Anolis sagrei: one gene and its partners. The protein of the gene in region 1 binds, or shares a complex with, the protein of each later gene. Links are inferred from orthologs where the notes say so. Each region holds a gene or a part of one and is shown on either strand. Other genes may lie near its edges. The genes, in order: NAA20, SNCA and NAA25.

Region 1 (7,085 bases):
TCCAGTATCCCAGGCTTTTTTTTTTTTTAACTTCCACCCCCGGGAACTCCCAGTGGTGCAATGAGTTAAACTGCTGAGCTGCTGAGCTTGTTGACCAAAAAGTCGCAGGTTCGAATCCGGGGAGCGGCGTGAGCTCTCGCTGTCAGCCCCAGCTTCTGCCAACCCAGCAGTTTGAAAACATGCAAATGTGGGTAGATCAATAGGTACCGCTCTGGCGAGAAGGTAATGGCGCTCCATGCAGTCATGCCAGACACATGACCTTGGAGGTGTCTACGGACAACGCCAGCTCTTCAGCTTAGAATGGTGATGATCACCAACCCCCAGAGTGGGACACAACTGGACTTAATGTCAGCAGACAACTTTTACCTTTACCTATCCCCAAGAAGCTTCAACTCCTTTGGCCATTGATCAGGGATTCTGGGAGCTGAAGCCCAAAACACATGGAAGATGAAATTGTCAAAAATGCCCCCTCCACCTTGTCAAATTGTCTTGATGCCCTCAAACCAGCTCAAAGCCAATACGTGGCTACACAAATGCAAAACAAAAGGTGTGTTTACGCTGTTGAATTAATGCAGTTTGACACCACTTTAAATGACAGCCCTTGTAGTTTTACAATGGCTGTAGCTTTCCCTGGCAAAGAATGCTGGCGACCCACCAAACTACAATCCCCATGATTCCAAAGCAATGATCCATGGCAGTAAAAATGCCAAACTGAATTAATTTGACAGCATAGACGCACCCTATGACAAAGTAAGCATTACTACATCCTGTCTGGTCAACCCTGCTATACCCCTATGAAACATGGACTGTCTACAGATGTCATATGCAACTCCTGGAACGATTCCATCAGCGCTGCCTCGGAAAAATCCTGCAAATGTCTTGGGAAGACAGGAGGACAAATGTCAGTGTGCTGGAAGAAGCAAAGACTACCAGCATTGAAATGATGGTCCTTCACCATCAACTTTGCTGGACTGGCCACATTATGCGAATGCCCGATCACTGTCCCCCAAAGCAGTTACTCTACTCTGAACTCAAGAATGGGAAACCGAATGTTGGTGGACAGGAAAATAGATTTAAAGATAGGGTTAAAGTTAAGCTTAAAAACTGTGGCATAGACACCGAGAACTGGGAAGCCCTGGCCCTTGATCGTTCTAAGTGGAGGTCAGCTGTGACCAGCAATGCTGCTGAATTTGAAGGAGGGCGGAGGGCGAAAGGGAGAAATGTGCCAAGAGGAAGACACATCAAGCCAACCCTGACCAGAACCGCCGTCTGGAAACCAATGTCCTCACTGTGAGAGAACATGGGGATCAAGAATAGGACTCCACAGCCACCTACAGACCCACTGCCACGACACCTCAAGCTACGAGAGATCACCTAAGTAACTTTTACTTGTCCGAGTATGATTGTTTTCCAAGATCGGTGTACTAGCAGCGGATATATAGGTGACTGCGGAGCCCTATTCTTGATCTGCATCTTCCCCCACAGTGAGGGCATTGGTTTCTAGGTGGAAGGCAGTCTCAGTCGGGGTTGGCTTGACGCGACTTCATCTTGACACGTTTATCTCTTTTGCCCTCCATTCATGTCTCTTCAAATTCTGCAGCACTGCTGGTCACAGCTGACCTCCAGCTGGAGCACTCAAGGGCCAGGGCTTCCCAGTTCTCAGTGTTTATTCCAGAGTTTTTAAGGTTGGCTTTGAGCCCATCTTTAAATTTCTTTTCCTGTCCTCCAATATTCCGTTTTCCGTTCTTGAGTTCGGAGTAGAGCAACTATTTTGGGGGAAGGTGGTTGGGCATCCGGACAACGTGGCCGTTTCAGCAGAGTTGATGGCAAAGGACCATCGCTTCAATGCTGGTGGTCTTTGCTTCTTCCAGCACACTGACGTTTGTCCACTTGTCTTCCCAAGATATTTGCAGGATTTTCCGGAGGCAGCGCTGATGGAATCATTCCAGGAGTTGCATGTGACGCCTGTAGACAGTCCATGTTTCGCAGGCATACAGCAGGGTTGGGAGGACAATAGCTTTATAAACAAGCACCTTAGTACCCCTATAGATATCACTCTGTGCTTCATTTGGGAAAATGCTGCACTCGCAGAGCTCAGGCGGTGTTGTATTTGACTTTTGTGGAGTCAATGTTGACTTTTGTGGAGAGATGGCTGCCAAGGTAGCGGAAATGATCAACATTTTCTAATGTTACACCATTACGGTGCATTTCTGGCATTGGAGAGGGGTTGGCTGGTGACTGATGGAAGAGAACTTTGGTTTTCTTGGTGTTCAATGACAGGCCGAGCTTCTCGTATGCTTCTGTAAAGGTGTTTATAGAGTGGCTTGTAGATGTTCTTCTGAATGCGCACAGACGACATTGTCATCAGCATATTGGATCACAGCACCGCAAAAGCCCAGTACAGTCAGAGCCACAATCCCTGGCAGTGTTTCCGACCCAGATGTTTTGGACTTCAGCTCCCAGAATGGCCAAAGTGGTTGAGGATTTGGGGAGTTGGAGTCCAAAACACCTGGAGAGGTAAAGTTTGGGAATCATTGGTCTATCTATGACGTCCAACTCTGGACGCAGATGACGTCCAACTCTGTCACTCCTTCCCACCTACTACTAAGGAGGCTGTTCAGGTCCTGAACCGCTGCTTGGCCGCTGTGTCGGACTGGATGAGGGCTAACAAATTGAAACTGAATCCAGATAAGACAGAGGCACTCCTGGTCAGTCGAAAGGCCGAACAGGGTATAGGGTTACAGCCTGTGTTAGACGGGGTTACACTCCCCCTGAAGACGCAGGTTCGCAGCTTGGGTGTGATCCTGGACTCTTCGCTAAGCTTGGAACCCCAAGTTTTGGCGGTGTCCAGGGGAGCATTTGCACAACTCAAACTTGTGCGCCAGTTGCGCCCGTACCTTGGGAAGTCTGACTTGGCCACGGTAGTCCACGCTCTGGTTACACCCCGGATTGATTACTGCAACGTGCTCTACGTGGGGTTGCCCTTGAAGACTGCCTGGAAGCTTCAGATGGTCCAGCGCTCGGCGGCCAGGTTGCTAACGGGAGCGGCACTCAGGGAGCATACCACTCCTCTGCTGAGCCAGCTCCACTGGCTGCCAATCCGCTACCGGGCACAATTCAAGGTGCTGGCTTTAGCCTATAAAGCCCTAAACGGTTCTGGCCCTGCTTACCTCTCCGAACGCATCTCCACCTATGAACTGAACAGAACATTAAGATCGTCTGGGGAGGCCCTGCTCTCGATCCCGCCTGCATCACAGGCGCGCTTGGCGGGGACGAGAGACAGGGCCTTCTCAGTGGTGGCCCCTCGGCTATGGAATGCCCTACCGGCAGACATCAGACAGGCACCTTCGCTGCTGACGTTTCGGAGAATGGTTAAGACCTGGCTTTATGAACAAGCGTTTGGTTAAGCAGTGCAACCAATCATAGGAAGAGGGTAAATGGAACATAGGAATGGCACAAGGATTATGAGAACGGATCTGATTTCAACTGAGGCGTTATGTTATGTTTGTTTTGTTGATCTGTCTTGTTGATTGTTAACTGTTGTGGATTGATGCTGTTGATCCTGTTTGTTGCATTGTTATGTTTTAATTGCACTGACACTGTTTGATAATTGTACCATGTAAACCGCATTGAGTCGCCTGTTAAGGGCTGAAAAATGCGGTATAGAAATAAAGCAAATAAATAAATCTATGACATCAGGGTTTTTGCCTGTGGGAGGAGGTACGTGGCCTCAGGAATTGTGGGAGTTGAAGTCCAAAACACCTGGAGGGCCAAAGTTCGCCCAGGCCTGCTCTACATCCACAAGAACCTTGGAAGCCTCGGTTCTAACAGCCCTTTGCTTTGGAACTCGGAAGAGCGGCGCAGACCGAAGAGGCGTGGCTGTCTTTCCTTGCTCTGCGTTCGACTGTCTATATTCCGGCTGTCTGTCGAATGCTCTGACGTCAGAGGCGTAGCTCCGCCCTTGATGACGCGAGCATCTCTCCCCATGTGAGGAAGTGATCCAATGGGACAGGAGCAGTTCCGGGTCGGCCGTCCTCGCTTTGCCTGGGCCTCCCTCCTCCATTGCCGGCAAGAGGAGAGAAGCCATGACTTCGCTTCGGGCGTTCACGTGTAATGACCTCTTCCGCTTCAACAACATGTGAGAAGGGGCGCTGCGGGCGAAGGGAGGGCCATGCGGTGGTTTCCCTTGCTGGCTGTGGAGGGGCCTCTGTCTCCTCTTGGAAAAGGCTTCTGCCCCTATACAGTGTATTGAGATTCTCTGGCTACCTGCACTTGCTGAGGAGAAGCCTTCAGTGGAGAAACTGAGGCTGTCTTTGCAACCGCCCCCAAATCGAGCGGGTATTTCTGCATTTCAGGCAGGAAACAGCCAGGCTTTGAAGCTGTGAGGCTATTCAATGCTAATCAAGGTGGCCAATTGCAACATTCACACTTGCCTCCAACAGACACGAGTTATTTCTCACACCCTAGAATCATAGAATCAAAGAGTTGGAAGAGACCTCATGGGCCATCCAGTCCAACCCCCTGCCAACAAGCAGGAATGTTGCATTCAAATCACGCCTGACAGATGGCCATCCAGCCCCTGTTTAAAAGCTTCCAAAGAAGGAGCCTCCACCACACTCCGGGGCAGAGAGTTCCACTGCTGAACGGCTCTCACAGTCAGGAGGTTCTTCCTCATGTTCAGATGGAATCTCCTCTCGTAGTTTGAAGCCATACCAACAACCACCATGTCAGACTACACAGAGAAGCCATTGAAATCCACAAGCATGTGGACAATTTCAACAGAAAGGAAGAGATCATGAAAATGAACAAAATCTGGCTACCAGTATTAAAAAAACTCTAAAATTACAACAGCAAAACAACAGAGAGGAAACAACCAGGCACATCTTAACACCTCCCAGCAAGAGATTTTCCCAGGCTCAGGCAGGCCTTCAAATGCTAATGAAGGTGATCAGCTAAAACATTCACACCTAACTGCAGCAGGGAAAAGCTCCTTGCCCCACCCCAGCCATTCCACAGATATATAAACCCATTGTCCTAATTCCAACAGACCTCACTACCTCTGAGGATGCTTGCCATAGATGCAGGTGAAACATCAGGAGAAATGCCTCTGGAACATGGCTCTATAGACCGAAAAAACCCACAGGAACCTTTGAAGCCATTGTTCCGCGTCCTAGTCTCCAGGGAAGCAGAAAACAAGCTTGCTCCCTCCTCCCTGTGGCTTCCTCTCACATATTTATACATGGCTATCATATCTCCTCTCAGCCTTCTCTTCTTCAGGCTAAACATGCCTAGCTCCTTAAGCCGCTCCTCATAGGGCTTGTTCTCCCGACCCTTGATCATTTTAGTCGCCCTCCTCTGGACACATTCCAGCTTGTCAATATCTCTCTTGAATTGGACCCTGGACCTTCCACAGATATATAAACCCCACTTGCCTACTTTCCAACACACCCTTCAACCTCTGAGGGTGCTTGCCATAGATGTGGGCAAAGCGTCAGGAGAGAATGCTTCTAGAACATGTAATCTATATATATATAAGTGCTCTGTGCATAATGAGTTCCTTAAAAACAAAAGAACCAATGAACGAAATCACACCAAACTTGGCAACAAAAGTCTCACAACACAAGGAGTGACCATCACTCAAAAAATTATGATTTTGTCATTTGGGAGTTGTAGTTGCTGGGATTTATAGTTCACTTACAATCAAAGAGCTTTCTGAACTCCATCAACGATGGAATTGAACCAAACTTGGCACACAGAACTCCCATGACCAGCAGAAAATACTGGAAGGGTTTGGCGGGCATTGATCATGAGTTTAGGAGTTGTACATCGAGAGAGCACTGTGGACTCAATGATGGATGTGGACCAAACTTGGCACAAGCACTCAATCTGCCCAAATATGAACACAGATGGAGTTTGGGGGAAATAGACCTTGACATTTGGGAGTTGTAGTCACTAGGATTCATAGTTCACCTACAATCAAAGAGCATTCTGAACCCACTAATGACAGAATCGGGGCAAACTTCCCACACAGAACCCCCATGACCATCAGAAAATACTTAAGGCCATCCAGTCCAACTCCCTTCATCAGGGCAAGAAAACGTAATCAAAGTCCTCCTGACAAAGAGCCATCCAGCCATAGATAAGGATAGATAGATAGATAGATAGATAGATATGATTCACACACAGAGATATAGTAAAGAAGGACAATGATATGTTGCGTGTTCTAAGGTGGGCAAACTGGACAATCTCCACATCAACACTGACAAAGAAACAGCAAGAAATACTGTTTACCCACAAGCATCAAGAAATTAAATATATTAGAAACCAACAATTCCTCATTACTTTATTTCCCAGATCAACAGATTGGGCCACAGCAATGCGTGGCAGGGGACAGCTAGTAATATATAAAACCTTATTTATATACCGCTCTATCTCACCAAGGGAGATTCAAGGTGGTTTCCAAGCAACATCACCTAAACATACAGAGTAAACAGCATGACATAATAATAATAATAATAATAATAATAATAATAATAATAATAATCTTTATTTATACCCCGCCACCATCTCCCCAATGGGGACTAGGAGCAGCTTACATGGGGCCAAGCCCGGACAACATGTTACAGCAAACTAAAACAAGAACATAAACAACAAGCAACATCATCAACATTACATAGAGAGAGAAAAAGTATAAACACAGTAACAAAATAACATTCCAATAAACACAATCATGATAACAATGGGCGGGCCACATGTACAGGATAAAATGATTAAAAAAACTCGAATGAGATAAAAATAGGAGCAAGTTATTTGCAGGGAGCTCATAAAAACACACAGGGTTGTGGAACTAAACTTCCCATTTGGAGGGCATGTACTCCAGTGGCAGAAGCGTGAGGGGAGCAATAGTGTCATGTTGTGCACGTACTCGCTAAAGGCGCAGTGGAAGAGCCAGGTTTTAAGGTTCTTTTTGAATGTTTCTAGTGAAGTGGCTTTCCTGATCTCTCCAGGTAATGAGTTCCAGAGTCAGGGAGCCACAGAGAAGGCTTTCTCCCTACAAGCTTGTGAGATTGGTAGGGGTGAAAGAA
Region 2 (8,059 bases), on another chromosome or scaffold:
CATTCTTCCCTTCCCAGCAGACAGGAGGGAAATGCGGCTTTTAAAAAAAACTCCTTATCTTACAGTAGGATTGAGCAATTTGCAAGCCAGATAAAACAAATTTATGTAAGACAGTAAGTTTGAAAGCACACAAAAATAATTTCATGCAGGGTAGTTACATAAAGAGTTGCTACTCAGTTCTATTGGGTGTCTTGATTTTTAGGCCTGTTTATAAGGTTATTTGAGGCATTGATTCAGAAAATTGCATTCGATAGACCATATCAGCTTTAGTTTCTAAGATATGGTTATCCTGGTTTTCTATAGGCGAGCAGATGGCAGCTGGTAGGTGGCAATGTTCAGTATCTCAAAAAGTCGAGCTGATTGGGGGAAACTGGTGTGGTTTTTTGAACTGGCGGGTCAAATGGGCTCATAAACAGGACTAACATTTGAGGTATCAAAATGTGTGTTGACCAGTGTGCTAGGAAGGCTTAGGCAACCACCTCAGGTCTTCAATTCTGGGAGGTGGAAGCAGGGATTGCCCAAAACTTCTTTTTTGGGGAGGGCTCTCTGAACATTTTCTTCTTCTGAAAAAGACGTGTATATGTTGCACCCTAGTTGTCCTTCACTGCTAAATTAGTCTGCTGCTTTTAGGAGGAGCAAAGGACCCAATTTCACTACCAGAATGGACGTTTCTGCTGCCATTGAAGTCAGAATGTGTACATAGAACGAAAGAAGAAGATATTATCTTGTCCTTTTTTTCCTCAGGCAGCAAAATGTTTTGAACCAACTTTGCAATTACCAGAGTCTCAGTCCATCTACCTGTGGCTTCCATTCCACTTAGCTATCAGAAGCACAGTGTGATCCACATATCCATGGCACTGGTATCTGCAGTTTTATTTATCCACGTCTGACCAAATACATCTCTTTAGGCATTTTCTAGATCTTCCAGCATAACGTAATGGTATGCTTGGGCCAGAACTACTTAATTTCAATAGGGTTCACAGTTTCATGTATCTACAAAACGCCCAGGAGCTTAACTTCTATAATATGGGGATCATACTCTATTGCAGTGGTTCTCAACCTGGGGTCCCCATATGTTTTTGGCCTACAACTCCCAGAAATCCCAGCCAGTTGACCAGCTGTTAGGATTTCTGGAAGTTGGAGGCCGAAAACATCTGGGGACCCCAGGTTGAGAACCACTGCTCTATTGTAAAGAAGAAGTCATAATATAAGTTTATTGAGTTCATCAAGAACTAGACTCTACTCAAGGTATAAAAGAGCCAGGCAACTCAATCTTTAGATGAAACTTTAAAAAAACAACAAAAATAAATCTTTATTTCAAGGATGAAAATGAGAAAATTCTGTACACCCTTTGTTTATTGTGGATTTAAGCTGATGTAACAGTGAACTGACCTTTATAACAGCAAATTGGCATGGTGTTTTTCTTATGTCTGAGTGGATTTTTAAAAAATGCGTAAATAACAAGAGAATTGAAGATGTTAACTCTCTCCTCTACTATGGTTGCAGTCTAGATGACTCCTATATGAGTAGTTTTATAAAAGGAGGCAAGTATCCATTGGGGTCTTTGCAGGTTTTCTTCCAAAGCTACTATAGGTATTAGCCAGACTAGGCTATGGTGAGGAAAGTAAGTGGAGCTGGACCATAGTAAAGGAAAAGAGTTTATGACCTTATCACCTGGCTTCGTCTGGTTTTGTGGAGGAAAGAGGGGGGGGGGCAGCGGACAGAGGCGGCCCTAGGTAATTTTCAACAGTATTTTGGCGCCCCCTCCCCCCCCCAACCAATCACTGATAGATATTTTCTGTTCATCGTGGGAGTTCTGTGTACCATATTTGGTTCAATTCCATCATTGGTGGAGTCCAGAATGCTCTTTGATTGTAGGTGAACTATACATCCCAGTAACTACAACTCGCATATGTCAAGGTCTATTTTCCCCCAAGAGTGCCTCAAGTGCGCCCCTGGGCAAAATCAACTATACTGCAAATGCTTACTTTGCGTAATGGGTTGAGACATCCCTGGCAGCAGAGTGAATCTGTTGCCTCACGAGCAGCTCTTCTTGATGATGCTTTCTCTATCACATGTGGGAAGTGTCGCCCTTCTGGGGAGGATTTGTGCTGGCTCCATTGGGGCCAGCACAATATAGGAAGCCTCCTGTGTTGTGTGGGAAGCATCCACAGATGCCTCCACCCCGATTGGGGGCAGGGCCTCCACCAGAAGTCACACAATGTTGTGTGATGGCTGGCATTTCCATCCCCAAAACAGACTGGAAGCTTCCTAGGACACTGAATTTGGTGAGTGTGATGAGGTTGTTAAACTCCTCTAACACTGCACAGGAAACATTTTCTGTAGAGAAAATAATATTTTTCTGCACATTCTGAACAATTTTGATTCTTTGGATTTTGGATGCATTTGGGATGCAGAAGTCATGGACATAGAGGACCAACGAGATGTTTGAAACTCCAGCTCCCAGAAAATCCAGCTAGGATGTCCAGTGAGGGAGGATTGGAGATAGTGATCCAAAACATCTCAAGAGACAGCCAAATGTTCCCCATCCCAGCTCCATTATTTGATATGCAACTGATCCTCGGTATCCACAAAGTCTGCATTGACAAATTCCATCATCTACAATTTGGAAATATTCTCTTCACATTCCATAAACCAATCATAATATTACCCTTCTATATAAGGGGCACCCTTTCCCTACACCATGTATATCATGTGATTTGAGAATCCACAGATTTTGGAGAGACCTGGAACCAAATACCAGAAGATACTATTATTTATTTACTGTATTTATATACCACCTTTCTCACCCCTGAGGGACTCAAGGTGGTTTACAACATACTAATGGCAAAAATTCAATGCCAACATACAGTACACAAAGAAATCATAATAATTAATTACTACATATAACTATTAACTTAAAACCAGTTAAAACCATTAAAGATAAGACATAAATAACATTTAAACATTCAGACAAAGCATAAAATCATCCTAGTATAAAGATTAAAATCCCATGATCCAGAAATCATATATCATAGCCATTCTGAACTGTCATTGCACATGTTCCTTAATTATTCTTCCTACTGCATTATTTATTAGCCAAAGGCTTGATCCCACAACCATGTCTTTGTTCTCTTTTTAAAGGTCAGGAGGGAGGGCGCTGATCTAATCTTTCTAGGGAGGCAGTTCCAGAGCCAAGGAGCCACAACTGAGAAGGCCCTGTTTGTTGTCCCCATCAACTGCACATGTGACAGAGGCGGGACCAAGAGCAGAGCCTCCCCAGTTGATCTTAACCTCCTTGATGGTTCATACTAAAAGCCGATTTTATTTGCTATGCAAATAAGCAATGCTTCTTATATAACCTACCTATCACTTGAGAGCACTGGTTCTCAACTTTTGGTTCTCCGGGTGCTTTGGACTTTGAGTCCCAGAATTTCAGGTAGTTAACCAAGCTAGGTGAAGCTTCTGGGAGTTGAAGACTGAAAAACCCCTAGGACCAAAGTTTGGGAACCACTGCAAGATCAGAGCCCACAGTATTTACTATGCAACAAGGAATACTTCTTATATAACCTCTATGTCTTTAAAGCACTTGTTACCAACTTTTGCTCCCATAAGTGTTTTGGAGCTTGGAGAAGACAATGATGTTGGGGAAATGGAAGGAAAAAGGAGGAGGGGACAACCAAGGGCAAGATAGATGGATGGTATCCTTGGCTTGGCTTGGAAGTAACTGGGGGTGGCCACAGCCAACAGGGAGCTCTGGCATGAGTTGATCCATGAGGTCATGAACAGTTGGAAGTGACTGAGTGAATGAATAAACAACAGCAACAAATGTTTTGGACTTTAGCTCTCAGAAGTCCTGACAGCTGGTTAAGCTGGCTATGACTTCTGGGAGTTAAATCATAGAATCATAGAATCAAAGAGTTGGAAGAGACCTCATGGGCCATCCAGTCCAACCCCCTGCCAAGAAGCAGGAATGTTGCATTCATGGCAGGGGGTTGGACGGGATGGCCCATGAGGTCTCTTCCAACTCTTTGATTCTATGATTCTCTGATTCTATGATTAACTCCCAGAAGTCATAGCCAGCTGTCAGGACTTCTGAGAGCTGAAGTCCAAAACATTTGTTGCTGTTGTTCTGGGAGTTAAAGTCCCAAAACCTGTAGGACCAAAGCTTGAGAACCACTACCAGTTTAGAGTACACCTATGGAAGCAGAAGCAGTGAAAAATATAGGTATAAGAGCGGAGGTCACTACACCCTTGCCCACCAACCTGCTTTTCCTTGGGTACATTTACACAGCAGAATATGCACCACTTTAACTGCCATGGCTCATTGCGACAACTCCCTTGATTCCAAAACATTGTGCCATAGCAGCTAACATGATGCCAAACTGAATTAATTATATAATATAGATGCACCCTGGAACCAAACCCCTGAAGAATGTTTGTTGTTCATTTGTTCAGTCGTCTCCGACTTCGTGACCTCATAGATGAGCCCACGCCAGAGCTCCCTGTCGGCTGTCACCACCCCCAGCTCCTTCAAGGTCAGTCCAGTCACTTCAAGGATGCCATCCATCCATTTTGCCCTTGGTCGGCCCGTCTTCCTTTTGCCTTCCACTTTCCCCAGCATAATTGTCTTCTCTAGGCTTTGCTGAAGAATGTATTTACTATGTAATAAGACATGCTTCTTATATAACATGTCTATCCCTTTAAACTACTGCTTCCTAAAATTTGGTTGTTTTGGGTGTGTTGAGCCTCAGCTCCCAGAATTCCTGACGTCCAAAGCAGCTGAGGCTTCTGGAAGCTGAAGTCTCAAAAACCTGCAGGACTAGAGTTTGCAGGAAGGCAGCGCAAACTGGAAGAAAAATTCCCCACTTGTTGCCCATCGGAGGAGGAAGAGTTTCTCCTTTCAGGAAAGCCTTCGAGGTGTATTTCGGAGGTGGAGGGGAGGGGAGAATAGGGGGGTTTCTTTACTACCGGGTGGAGCCAGCAAAAGATGGAGAGACCAGGGAGGAGGAGGAAGAGGAGGAGAGGAGGAAGGCGGCGTCCTGGCTCCGGCTTGGCTCCTGGGCGCGGCTTGCCTCCGCTACCTGACGAATGAGACAAGAGGCGGTGAAAAAAGGCGCAGGGGGAGGGGGAAAGAGGGAGAGAGAGGAAGAGAAGCAAGGGAAGGAACTGGCTGGTCTCCCTTCAAGCCCTGGCTGCCTTCCCTCTTTCCCACCCATTGCCCTGAAAGCGGAACCTGGGACCCATCTTTCCCCTCCTGGCCTTACTTCCCCTGGACCTGGGTACCACTCTTGCCTGCATCCCTGCATCCTTCAGCCGGGATGTACTAAGCCAAACATCGCCCTGCTCTCTTCTCCCTGCTCTTAATCACACTTCGAAAGAGTCCCGAGGCGAAAGGAGTCACATTTCATTGGCAAGGAAGGTAAGTAAACTGGTTGAATTGAGACTGGGTTCTTTTATTTCTCCCCTTTGGGGAGAGAAACAGAGAAGGGTTGTGGAGGGATGGCTTTTGCCAGTCTTGGGTGCACTTACAGGCGAGTAAATTCCACCGAGCAGGAAAACAGCTTGCTTTTGGTAGATCTAGGGATGCGTCTACATCCCTACAATTCAGTTTCAAAACACTTAGATTGTCATTACATAGTGGTATGGAATCATAGGATTTGTAGCCTGGTGTCCTGTCTGGTACATCTAGTAGCATCTACAGTCAAGAGTAAATGTATAGTCAAAGGCTTTCATGGCCAGAATCACTGTGCTGTTGTGAGTTTTCTGGGCTATATGGACATGTTCCAGAAGCATTCTCTCCTGATGTTTCGCCTGCATCTATGGCAGGAATCCTCAGATGTTGTGAGGCAGAACTCACAACCTCTGAGGATACCTGCAATATATGTAGGTGAAACATCAGGAGAGAATGCTTCTGGAGCATGGCCATACAGTCCAAAAAACTCACAATAACCCAGAGTGAATGTAGTTTGACAGCACTTTTAACTGCCAGGGCTCTATGGTATGAAATCCTTGGAGTTGTAGTTTGGAGGTACTAGCACTGTTTGGCTTGTTGTAAAACTACAACAAGCATTAATTCATGAGCCATGGCTATTAAAATAGTGTCACACACCACCATTCTACAGTGTCCAGATGGACAATAAGAAAGGTATCCTCGTGGCAATGCCAATTTGCATGTCTTACTCAAGAATAGAGCTTGGTTTAGTGTGGAATTATCTCGTGTGCAAGATTACAGGCAAGCATAGCAATCTTGTGACATAGGCTGCCTTCTGAAGTAAGTCCTGTTGGAAGTAGCAGGATTTATTTTGTATTGTCAAAGGCTTTCATGACCAGAATCACTGGATTGCTGTGAGTTTTCCAGGCTGTACGGCCATGTTCCAGAAGCATTCTCTCCTGACATTTCACCTGCCTCTATGGCAGGCATCCTCAGAGGTTGTGAGATCTGTAGTGTCGAAGGCTTTCATGGCTGGAATCACTAGGTTCTTGTGGGTTTTTTCGGGCTATATGTGAGATCTGTTGTAAACTAGGAAAGTAGAGTTACCTCTTCAGGAATCTACCATACTCTCCTTCTTCCCCATCCATTGCCATGAAAGCGGGAGCTGGGACCCATCTGTTGAAATTGTCCACATGCTTGTGGATTTCAGTGGCTTCTCTGTGTAGCTTGACATGACAGTTGTGAGAGTGGTCCAGCATTTCTGTGTTCTCAAATAATATGTATGCTGTGTCCAGGTTGGTTCATCAAGTACTCTACTATGGCTGACTTCTCTGTTTGAATTAGTCTGCAGTGCCTTTCATGTTCCTTGAATTGTGTTGTATTTACCGTTATTTTAAGAAAATGACTATGAGACTTTGGATACCTGTGGAGCATCTTCCAAATGTTGCAAGTATGTATGTGTGAACAGGTGTCTAGCCCTGAACACCTGTTTTTCAAGACCTCTGTATCTGTATACATCTTTATAGATCTTTTGACTACTGTCAAAAATCAAAATATGCATGTGGTTGAGTTCTTTTCCCCCTCGAGGGGCTGTGGTTGATTTGCATCACTTTGCTGGACTTCTAGGACCAGTGAGGAATGTTGTAGTATCCATTCAAAATGGACCTGAACTGTTTTGCTATTGGGAGTAACACATCCATTTCAGTGAATGGGCTACATCTCTATCTGTATCCTAATGAGGACAGAATTCTCTGTCTTCCCCACAATGGCAAACCAAACGATCCAGTAAACACCTCCAGAGCCTCGCCCTGACTCCTCAGGAATTCAGTGGCATTGCTCCTAGCAGGGTTTGCTGCTAAAATTCCCTTGGGGAGATGGAAATAACAAACATAGAACAGTGGCATTTAAGAACACTAACAAGTCTCTGGGGCAACTGTAAGCATAGTTATTGGACTGTAATTCCCAGCAGCCCCAAGCAATATTGCCAGGAGTGAGGAAGGATGGTGTTGTGGTGCTTTAAGATAACAGGTCTTTTGGGTGTTTTGGATATGGTACAAATGCAACCTGATTTCCAAGCCATGAAATATTGAGTTATGTTCTATCTGTTTATAATTTACCTAGAACCAGAACTCTATTAATACCCCCCACATCCAGACTAATGGTGCTTGTTGCCTTGTAGTAGTGTTCAAAGAGCTAGCCATGCTAGTATGTTTTGCTTCATTAGACTTTTTGGTTATATATGAACATGAAAAGGCATAAAATAATCCAAAAAGAGGCTAAAAAAAGAAATTTTAACATAAGATATCATGCACACAGTCTGTTTCACTTATGCATTGCTTTCTGTAAGAACACAGTCATCCAAGACTCTATGGAATCTGTAGGTGGGCAATTGGATATCTTTTCTGAGATGTGTGAGGATATTTTGGCTCTTTTCACAGGAGTAAGGAACATTCATACAGATCTTACTACAGTATAGTCTTGCTTATCCAACCTCCACTCATCCAACATTCTGTATTATCCAACGCAGTCTGCCTCCTGTCTGGATCTACAGCTGTTTCAATATATTGTGACGTTTTGGTGCTAAATTCATAAATACAGTAATTACTACATAAAGTTACCATGTAT
Region 3 (7,272 bases), on another chromosome or scaffold:
CAGTGCAACCCCATTCTGTCAAGAAGCAGGAAAATCGAATTCAAAGCATCCTCCCCATCCAGCCTCTTCTTAAAAGCCTCCAAAGAAGGAGCTTCCCTTCACCACACTCTTGGACAGAGAGTTCCACTGCTGAACAGTTCTCTCTTTCACAGTTAGGAAGTGCTTCCTCGTGATTAGGTGGAGTCTCCTTTCTTTCCTATAGTTTGAAGCTATTGTTCCATTGTGTCCTGGTCTCCAGGGCAGCAGAAAATACGTCTGCTCCCTCTTCCTTATGACTTCCCCTCCTTCACCTCTTGATCCTCTCAGCCTTCTATTCTGCAGGCTAAACATGCCCCAGCCTTTCAGTCACTCCTCATAGGGCTTGTTCTCCAGACCCTCGATCCTTTTAGTCACCCTCTTTTGGACACATTCCAGCTCAGAGTCAACATCTCCCTTAAATTGTGGTGTCCAGAATTGGACACAGTGTGATTCGAGGTGTGGTTTGACCAAGGCAGAATAGAGAGGTAGCATGACTTCCCTGGATCTAGGCATTACACTCCTGTTGATACAGGCCAAAATCCCATTGGCTTTTTTAGCTGCCACAGGACATTGCTGGCTCATGTTAACCTTCCTCCCCACGAGGACTCTGAGATCTTTTTCACATGTACTGCTATTGAGCTAGGCATTCCCCGTTCTGTATCTTTGTATTTAATTTTTTCTGCCTAAGTGGAGTATCTTGCATTTGTCCCTGTTGAACTACCTTTTTGTTAGTTTTGGCCAATCATCTGTCTTATCCGTTAAGATCATTTTGAATTCTGCTCCTGTCTTCTGGAGTATTGGCTCTCCCTCTCAATTTGATCTCGTCTGCAAACTTGATGAGCATGCCTTCTCATCCTTCATCTAAGTTGTTAATAGAGATGTTGAACAGGACCAGGATGGAACCCTGCTGGTGGCACTCCACTCACCCTTTCTTTCCAGGATGAAGAAGAAGCATTGGGGAAAATCACTCTCTGGGTTCATTCACTTTATTAAAGTATTGGAGAAGTCACCAACTTATTGCAGTGACCTTTGCCTGCCTTTTTCCTGTCCTGGGAAGATCAGCCAACATCTTGCCAGGCTTCATTTGCATTGATTGGATCAATCAGCTACCTCAATGGAACCCATACAACCCAAGTGAGACAGAGGATAACAGGAGCCAGGTGGACCACCCTTCCTTTGTGTTACTGTTTGGACAATACCTGACATTTGCCATCCCAGCACGGAGTTTCCAGTCACGAGATACCATGCCACAGTTTTGGAAAGGCTATTTTCCTCCTTTGTTATTCCTAGACATTGGACATTTATATGGACAATATTTTCTGTTGGAACTTGCATGGGAGTTTGGTGTTCGAGACACTGTGCTTGATCAGAATTTGAACGCCTAAGGGACAATACAAGTTTTGGCAGACCCATCAGGGTCATTGTGCTCACACATCAGGGATATTTAATACCATCATCAGTCCTCATCTGATCCATTGTTCTGAAGCTCGCCATCCCCTCTCTAGCCATTGGACAGAGGGCAATCTCCATCTGAGGCAGTCAGTACTCTCTCCCGCCTCTCCAGGGAGCCCCCACTGATGTCATGCTGGCTCAGCCAATCATGGTGAAGGTGGGTCCAGCTGGGGGCGGTGGGAATTTTGAACCTGTAAAAGTGTATAAAAGTGCATGTTTTTCTGTAAAATGTATCTCAGCTGTCTTTAGTGGGCTACCACAAGCTGTCATCACTTCAGCTGACTTTAAATAAAATATTTAGCGGCTTGTCTCCAACATTGTGAGCATTCTTTCGTCGGATTGGGCTTCCTTTGCTCACCAAGCACATGGATCCACAGCTGGTTGGGCACCGGAGCCTCTCGCTGCCTAAAGGTTGGCTCTCAGTCCTGGGTTCTGGGCATGGATCTCACTATCTCTGGCCACTCCAAATTGCTCTATTTCACTTCCTTAACAATCTTTTCCAGAATATTGCCTGGTATTGATGTGAGGCTGACCAGATTTGGGTCCTTGATTCTCCAGGGAGCTGGTGGTGATGAAACACGCGAGACAGAGACTAGTGTGCCGCTGGGGAGGACTCAGGACAAATCTGACTGAGTACAGGCTAGAACCTCACTTAGGGCCTCCTTCACGGCACTGAAGGCGTTCTTCACTGCCTGCATTGTGTCTGCAACTAATAGACCAGCGGAGTTGTTAATAGGTTGTATATCCAACCTATTAACAGTAGCAAAATTACTTATAGCAAGAAATTGGATAAGGGAAATAAATATAAAAAAGGAAGAGTGGTATAAGAAATTATGAAAATTGGCAAAAAGTGACAAAATTGACATGTAAAAAAAAGTGACAAAATTGACATAAAAAGTTAAAAGAGGAATATGGAAAAGTGGTTTTGATGAGGTTTGGAGAACATTTACAGGAAAAAAGATTTTTAAAAGGACAGAGAATTGCCTCCACAGGAAGGAAATTTGGGACAGAGGAGATAAATTTACACACATACAGATTTTCACTTTTATTATTTGTATACAAGAAGTTCACTTCACTTCACTTAGGTGATCCCTTGTAGTTGGAGGAGGATGGTCCTCCAAGGTCAGTGTTCTGTCAGTGGGTCCACAGGTGACTGTGGAGCCCAATTCTTGATCTGCAGCTTCTTCCGCAGTGAGGGCATTGGTTTCCAGGTGGAAGGCGGTCTTGGCCGGGGTTGGCTTGATGCGCCTTCCTCTTGGCACGTTTCTCTTTTTCACCCTCCACTCGTGCCTCCTCAAATTCTGCAGCACTGCTGGTCACAGCTGACCTCCAGCTGGAGCGGTCAAGGGCCAGGGCTTCCCAGTTCTCAGTGTCTATGCCAGAGTTTTTAAGGTTGGCTTTGAGTTGAGCCCATCTTTAAATCTCTTTTCCTGCCCACCAACATTCCGTTTTCCGTTCTTGAGTTCGGAGTAAAACAACTGCTTTGGAAGACGGTGGTCAGGCATCAGAACAACATAGCCGGTCCAGCAGAATTGATGGCAGAAGACCATCGCTTCAATGCTGGTGGTCTTTGCTTCTTCTAGCACGCTGACATTTGTTTGCTTGTCTTCCCAAGAGATTTGCAGGATTTTCCGTAGACTGTCCACGTCTCGCATGCGTATCACAGGGTTGGGAGGACAATAGCTTTATAAACAAGCACCTTGGTATCCCTACGGATGTCCCGGTCCTCAAACACTCTCTGCTTCATTCGGAAAAAGGCTACACTCGCAGAGCTCAGGCGGTGTTGAATTTCAGTGTCAACGTTGACTTTGGTGGAGAGGAGGCTGCTAAGGTAGCGGAAATGGTCAACATTTTCTAATGTTACACCATTAAGCTGTGTTTCTGGCATTGGAAAGGGTGAGGATAACTGAGTGGATTTCGAGTGACATTGTAAACCGCCTTGAGTCACAAGGAGAGGCGGGTCAGAAATGAAATAATAATAATAATAATAATAATAATAATATGGATGCAAACATTGCAACTTTTAAAAAAATCTGAAAGGAGAGGTGGGTGACAAATATTTCAATCTCATGTGTAGAAGGGCCCATCTCCAGACTGCCATAGAATGCATGGCACGCTGCCTCCCCTTTACCGCGCGCCTTTAGTGTACGTCCCGCCCCTCGCGGCCTCCGATTGGCCCTCCTACTTCCCCCCTCTTCTCTCGCTGTGAGCCCCGCCCCTCGCGGCCTCCGATTGGCCCCTTCCCTCCTCTCTCCCTCAGTTATCCCTCGCGCCGCTGCTAAAGGGGCGACCTCGCGGCCTCCGATTGGCCCCTCCTCCCTCCCCTTTCCCTCGCCCCTTTGCTGTAAGCCACTCTACTCGCAGCCTTTGATTGGCCCCTCCCCTTTCCCGCGCACCCTTGCTGTAGGCCCCGCTCATATCGGTCTCCGATTGGCCCCCACCCCTTCTCCCTCGCGGGCCTCCGATTAGCGCCTCCCCCACTTCTTTTCCCCTCGCACCCTTACTGTAGGCTCCGCCCCTCGCGGACTCCGTTTGGCCCCTCCCTCCTCCCTCGCTGTAGGCTCCGCCCCTGTTGGCCTCTGATTACCCCCCCTTTCTCCTCCCCCCTCCATTTTCCCTCGCGCCCTTGCTGTAGGCTACGCCTCTCGCGGTCTCTGATTGGCCCCTCCTCCCCCTCGCGCCCTTGTTATAGGCCCCGCCCCTCGCGGCCTCTGATTGGCCCGCCTTTCCCCGCCCTCGCGCCCGGCTAAGCCACGCCCCCTGTTGAGAGAGACCCCGCCCCTCCGCTCGCCAGTAGGGCCGGCGAGCGGCGGAGGCGGCGGCTGCGCGCTGCGGTTCTGCGCTCTCATCATGGCGGCGGCGCGGGGCCATGTGCAGGATCCCAACGACCGGCGCCTCCGGCCCATTTACGGTACCGAGCTTTTTCCTTCCCATTGCCACCGGTGCTTCCTTTTCCCCTCATTCCCCCTTCCCCCCCCCCCATCTCCCTCAGCGTCTCCGCGCGCGGCGAACGGCGCCTGCCTTCCTCCCTCTGGAAGGCGCATGCGCACTGGCTGTCCTCCCTTCGCCTCAGCTTCGCCTCAGCCCCCCTGGGGCCCTTCCCGCCCTTTTCTCCCTGTCCTGGGTGGGAAAAGGAACAGGCCTTGGGCCTGAGAAGGAAGGGCGGCCTAAACGGGGCTCCACAGTCAACTTCCCTACTGCCAAGCTTAGCTCAGAGACTTGAGATTGCGTCTTGGCTGTTCCTTGATACAAGCCGTCCCCGATTTACAGACCCCTCACTTCCAAACGACTCCTTAACAAGAAGTGAGAGGATTCTTCCCCTTGAAAGGGAAATTCACTCCTGAAAGAGTTACTATCAGGGGGAAAGGGGGCTCCACTGAAGCCCAATCCCCAGTCCTTGTTTCCACAACAAGCGAAAATGTTCCAAATTATATTCTCACAAGGACAGAAAGTGAGGGGAAATCTTATGAACATTGGCACAGGCAGCAAACACCATCACGGGGGGGAGGCGGTTAATTGTTCCCCATGATCTCCAAAGCTATTGTTATGTTGATGGATGTTTTTTTTACCCCGCTTTTTTTCCCCAGAAGGTGACCTAGGACCTTTCAGACATGCCCTATATCCCAGGACCTGATCCCAGGTGTTCTGTTTATCCCAGATTATCTGGCGGTGCGGGCTCATATCCAGTTTAAAGCAGAAAACCCGAGATCAGATCATGGGATGGGGCATGTCTAGGGCCGCTTCCACATAGCTGAATAAAATCCCAAAATATCTTCTTTGAACTGGAATATATGGCACTGTGGTCTCAGATAATAATAATACTTTATTTATAGGCTGCCCTATCTCCCCAAGGGGACTCAGGCTGGCTTCCACGCAAAAAAGAAAGGCAAACTTTCAATGCCTTAGTAAAAAAAAAAAAAGCATACACATAAGTCAAACAGTAGAAAATAACGTCATTATAAATTAATAATTACTAACAAGAAAATAGAATTCATAGTTAAATAAAAATAGTTATCTAGAGACAAACACATGGACGCCATAAAAACCAAACCAAAGATAACCCAGTTCAAAGCAGATATTGTAGGATTTTCTGCCTTGATATTCTTGATATTCTGGGTTATATGGCAGTGAGGAAGGGCCTTTAGACATACAACCCAGAATATCAAGGCAGAGAATCCGCAAGATGTGCTTTATTTATTTATTAATTTGTATTTTATTTATTGATATCCCACTTTTATCTCCATACAGAGACTCCAAGCAGCTCACAATTAAAAACATGACAACTCCAAGTATACAATAATAAAATGGTGTATCGTGATATATTATGTATTATCAGTAGTAATTATATTTAATACACTTGCCTCCAACAAACAAGAGTTCTTTCTCCCACCCTGGACATCATTCCACAGATATGTAAAACCCCACTTGCCTAGTTTCCAACATACCTCACAACCTCTGAGGATGCCTGTCATAGATGTGGGTGAAATATTCAGGGGAGAATGCTTCTGGAACATGGCTGGACAGCCCGGAAAACTCACAGCAACCCATTTAATATATTAGTATTTCCATATTATTATAATATATTTTTATAATGTATTATTAGTGGTATTATATCGTATCACATTATAATATTTAATAATAAACTTTATTTACATCCTGCCCTCTTTCCAACAGGATTCAGGATGGCTTACAGAGAATAAATACAAGACCAAAACAAGAATAAAAACATACATAGCGACAAAATAAAAAAAATCACAAACTAAAATAATAATATCATAGTAAAATGCACAGATTAAATTATTTCTGGATTTAAAAACATATTGTTCACCAGGACAAAACCAGTTCAAGACAGTTTGCATTTGTATACCTATAAAAACCACCATCATGATAAGTTATAATTGCTCACTTCCAAATGCCTTCTTCCACGTCCATGTTTTCAATTCTTTCCTGAAGGTGGCTGGTCTGATTTCTTTGGGAAGGACATTACAGAGCTGGGAAGCCACTACTGAGAAGGCCCTTTCCCGCGTTCCCACCAGCCACACTTGTGAGGGTGGTCGGACTGTGAGAAGGCCTTCCCGGAGGACCTTAAGGCCTGAATGGGTTTATAGGGGGAGACATGGTCACACAAATAAGCAAATTATATTATTAGCAAAGCACAATATTAGTACTATACATTATATTGTACTATACCACTGTACTACAAAATTATTAGTAATGTTACATGTATTATATAATACACAATTCTTGTATTATTATATTTAATTGTACTATATTATTATACCACTATGCATGTAATACAGTACCAGTATTTATACCAGATACCAGAATATCTTGATAGGGGCTGTGGTGGCACAGCAGATTTATCAGCTGAGCTGACTGGAAGGTCAGTGGTTCCAAACTGCGTGATGGAGTGAGCTCCTGCTATCAGCCCTAGCTTCTGCCAACCAACAGTTGGAAAACATGCAAGTGTGGGTAGATCAATAGGTACCACTTTGGCAGGAAGGTAACAGTGCTCTATGCAATCATGCTGGCCACATGAACTTGGAAGTGTATACTGACAATTCCAGCTCTTCGGCTTAGAAATGAGAGATGAGCACCACTGAGTCAGATACAACTAGACTTAATGTCAAGGGGAAACCTTTACCACAATATCTTCTTTGAACTGGTGGCCCTTCCACACAGCCCTATAACCCAAAATATCAAGGCAGAAAATTCCACAATATCGGCTTTGAACTGCGTTATCTCAGTCCACACAGCCATATAAACTAGTTCAAAGCAGATAATGTGGGATTTTATACAGCT

What was found.
Region 2: the proteins of NAA20 (region 1) and SNCA are in contact, whole or in part, in a cryo-EM structure (PDB 7STX), measured with the Homo sapiens proteins. The link is inferred for Anolis sagrei from reciprocal best matches to the Homo sapiens genes NAA20 and SNCA. Residues at the interface, in NP_057184.1 of Homo sapiens: Leu23, Thr24, Glu25, Tyr27, His73, Val74, Thr75, Ala76, Leu77, Ser78, Leu110, Phe111, Tyr137, Tyr138, Ser139, Ala140; in NP_000336.1 of Homo sapiens: Met1, Asp2, Val3, Phe4.
Region 3: the proteins of NAA20 (region 1) and NAA25 are in contact, whole or in part, in a cryo-EM structure (PDB 7STX), measured with the Homo sapiens proteins. The link is inferred for Anolis sagrei from reciprocal best matches to the Homo sapiens genes NAA20 and NAA25. Residues at the interface, in NP_057184.1 of Homo sapiens: Thr2, Thr3, Leu4, Arg5, Thr8, Cys9, Asp10, Leu12, Phe13, Phe15, Asn16, Asn19, Leu20, Pro22, Leu23, Thr26, Tyr27, Gly28, Ile29, Pro30, Leu33, Gln34, Leu36, Ala37, His38, Pro40, Glu41, Pro49, Glu52, Met54; in NP_079229.2 of Homo sapiens: Ser226, Glu227, Ile228, Asn259, Asp261, Asp262, Trp263, Gln264, Arg318, Arg321, Leu325, Lys362, Pro363, Cys364, Thr367, Asp368, Val371, Leu457, Thr459, Glu460, Leu461, Ser504, Ala506, Leu510, Leu532, Asp533, Lys535, His536, Ile537, Gln538.

Annotation. Positions count from the first base shown.
Region 1 is NC_090024.1:138,984,357-138,991,441, forward strand, and holds the start of NAA20 (N-alpha-acetyltransferase 20), read left to right. Parts: upstream 1-3,989; 5' UTR 3,990-4,085; coding exon 4,086-4,138; intron 4,139-7,085. UniProt on the Homo sapiens protein: Catalytic subunit of the NatB complex which catalyzes acetylation of the N-terminal methionine residues of peptides beginning with Met-Asp, Met-Glu, Met-Asn and Met-Gln. Proteins with cell cycle functions are overrepresented in the pool of NatB substrates.
Region 2 is NC_090025.1:20,884,775-20,892,833, reverse strand, and holds the start of SNCA (alpha-synuclein), read left to right. Parts: upstream 1-5,033; 5' UTR 5,034-5,422; intron 5,423-8,059. UniProt on the Homo sapiens protein: Neuronal protein that plays several roles in synaptic activity such as regulation of synaptic vesicle trafficking and subsequent neurotransmitter release.
Region 3 is NC_090034.1:30,544,565-30,551,836, forward strand, and holds the start of NAA25 (N-alpha-acetyltransferase 25, NatB auxiliary subunit), read left to right. Parts: upstream 1-4,250; 5' UTR 4,251-4,320; coding exon 4,321-4,381; intron 4,382-7,272. UniProt on the Homo sapiens protein: Non-catalytic subunit of the NatB complex which catalyzes acetylation of the N-terminal methionine residues of peptides beginning with Met-Asp, Met-Glu, Met-Asn and Met-Gln. May play a role in normal cell-cycle progression.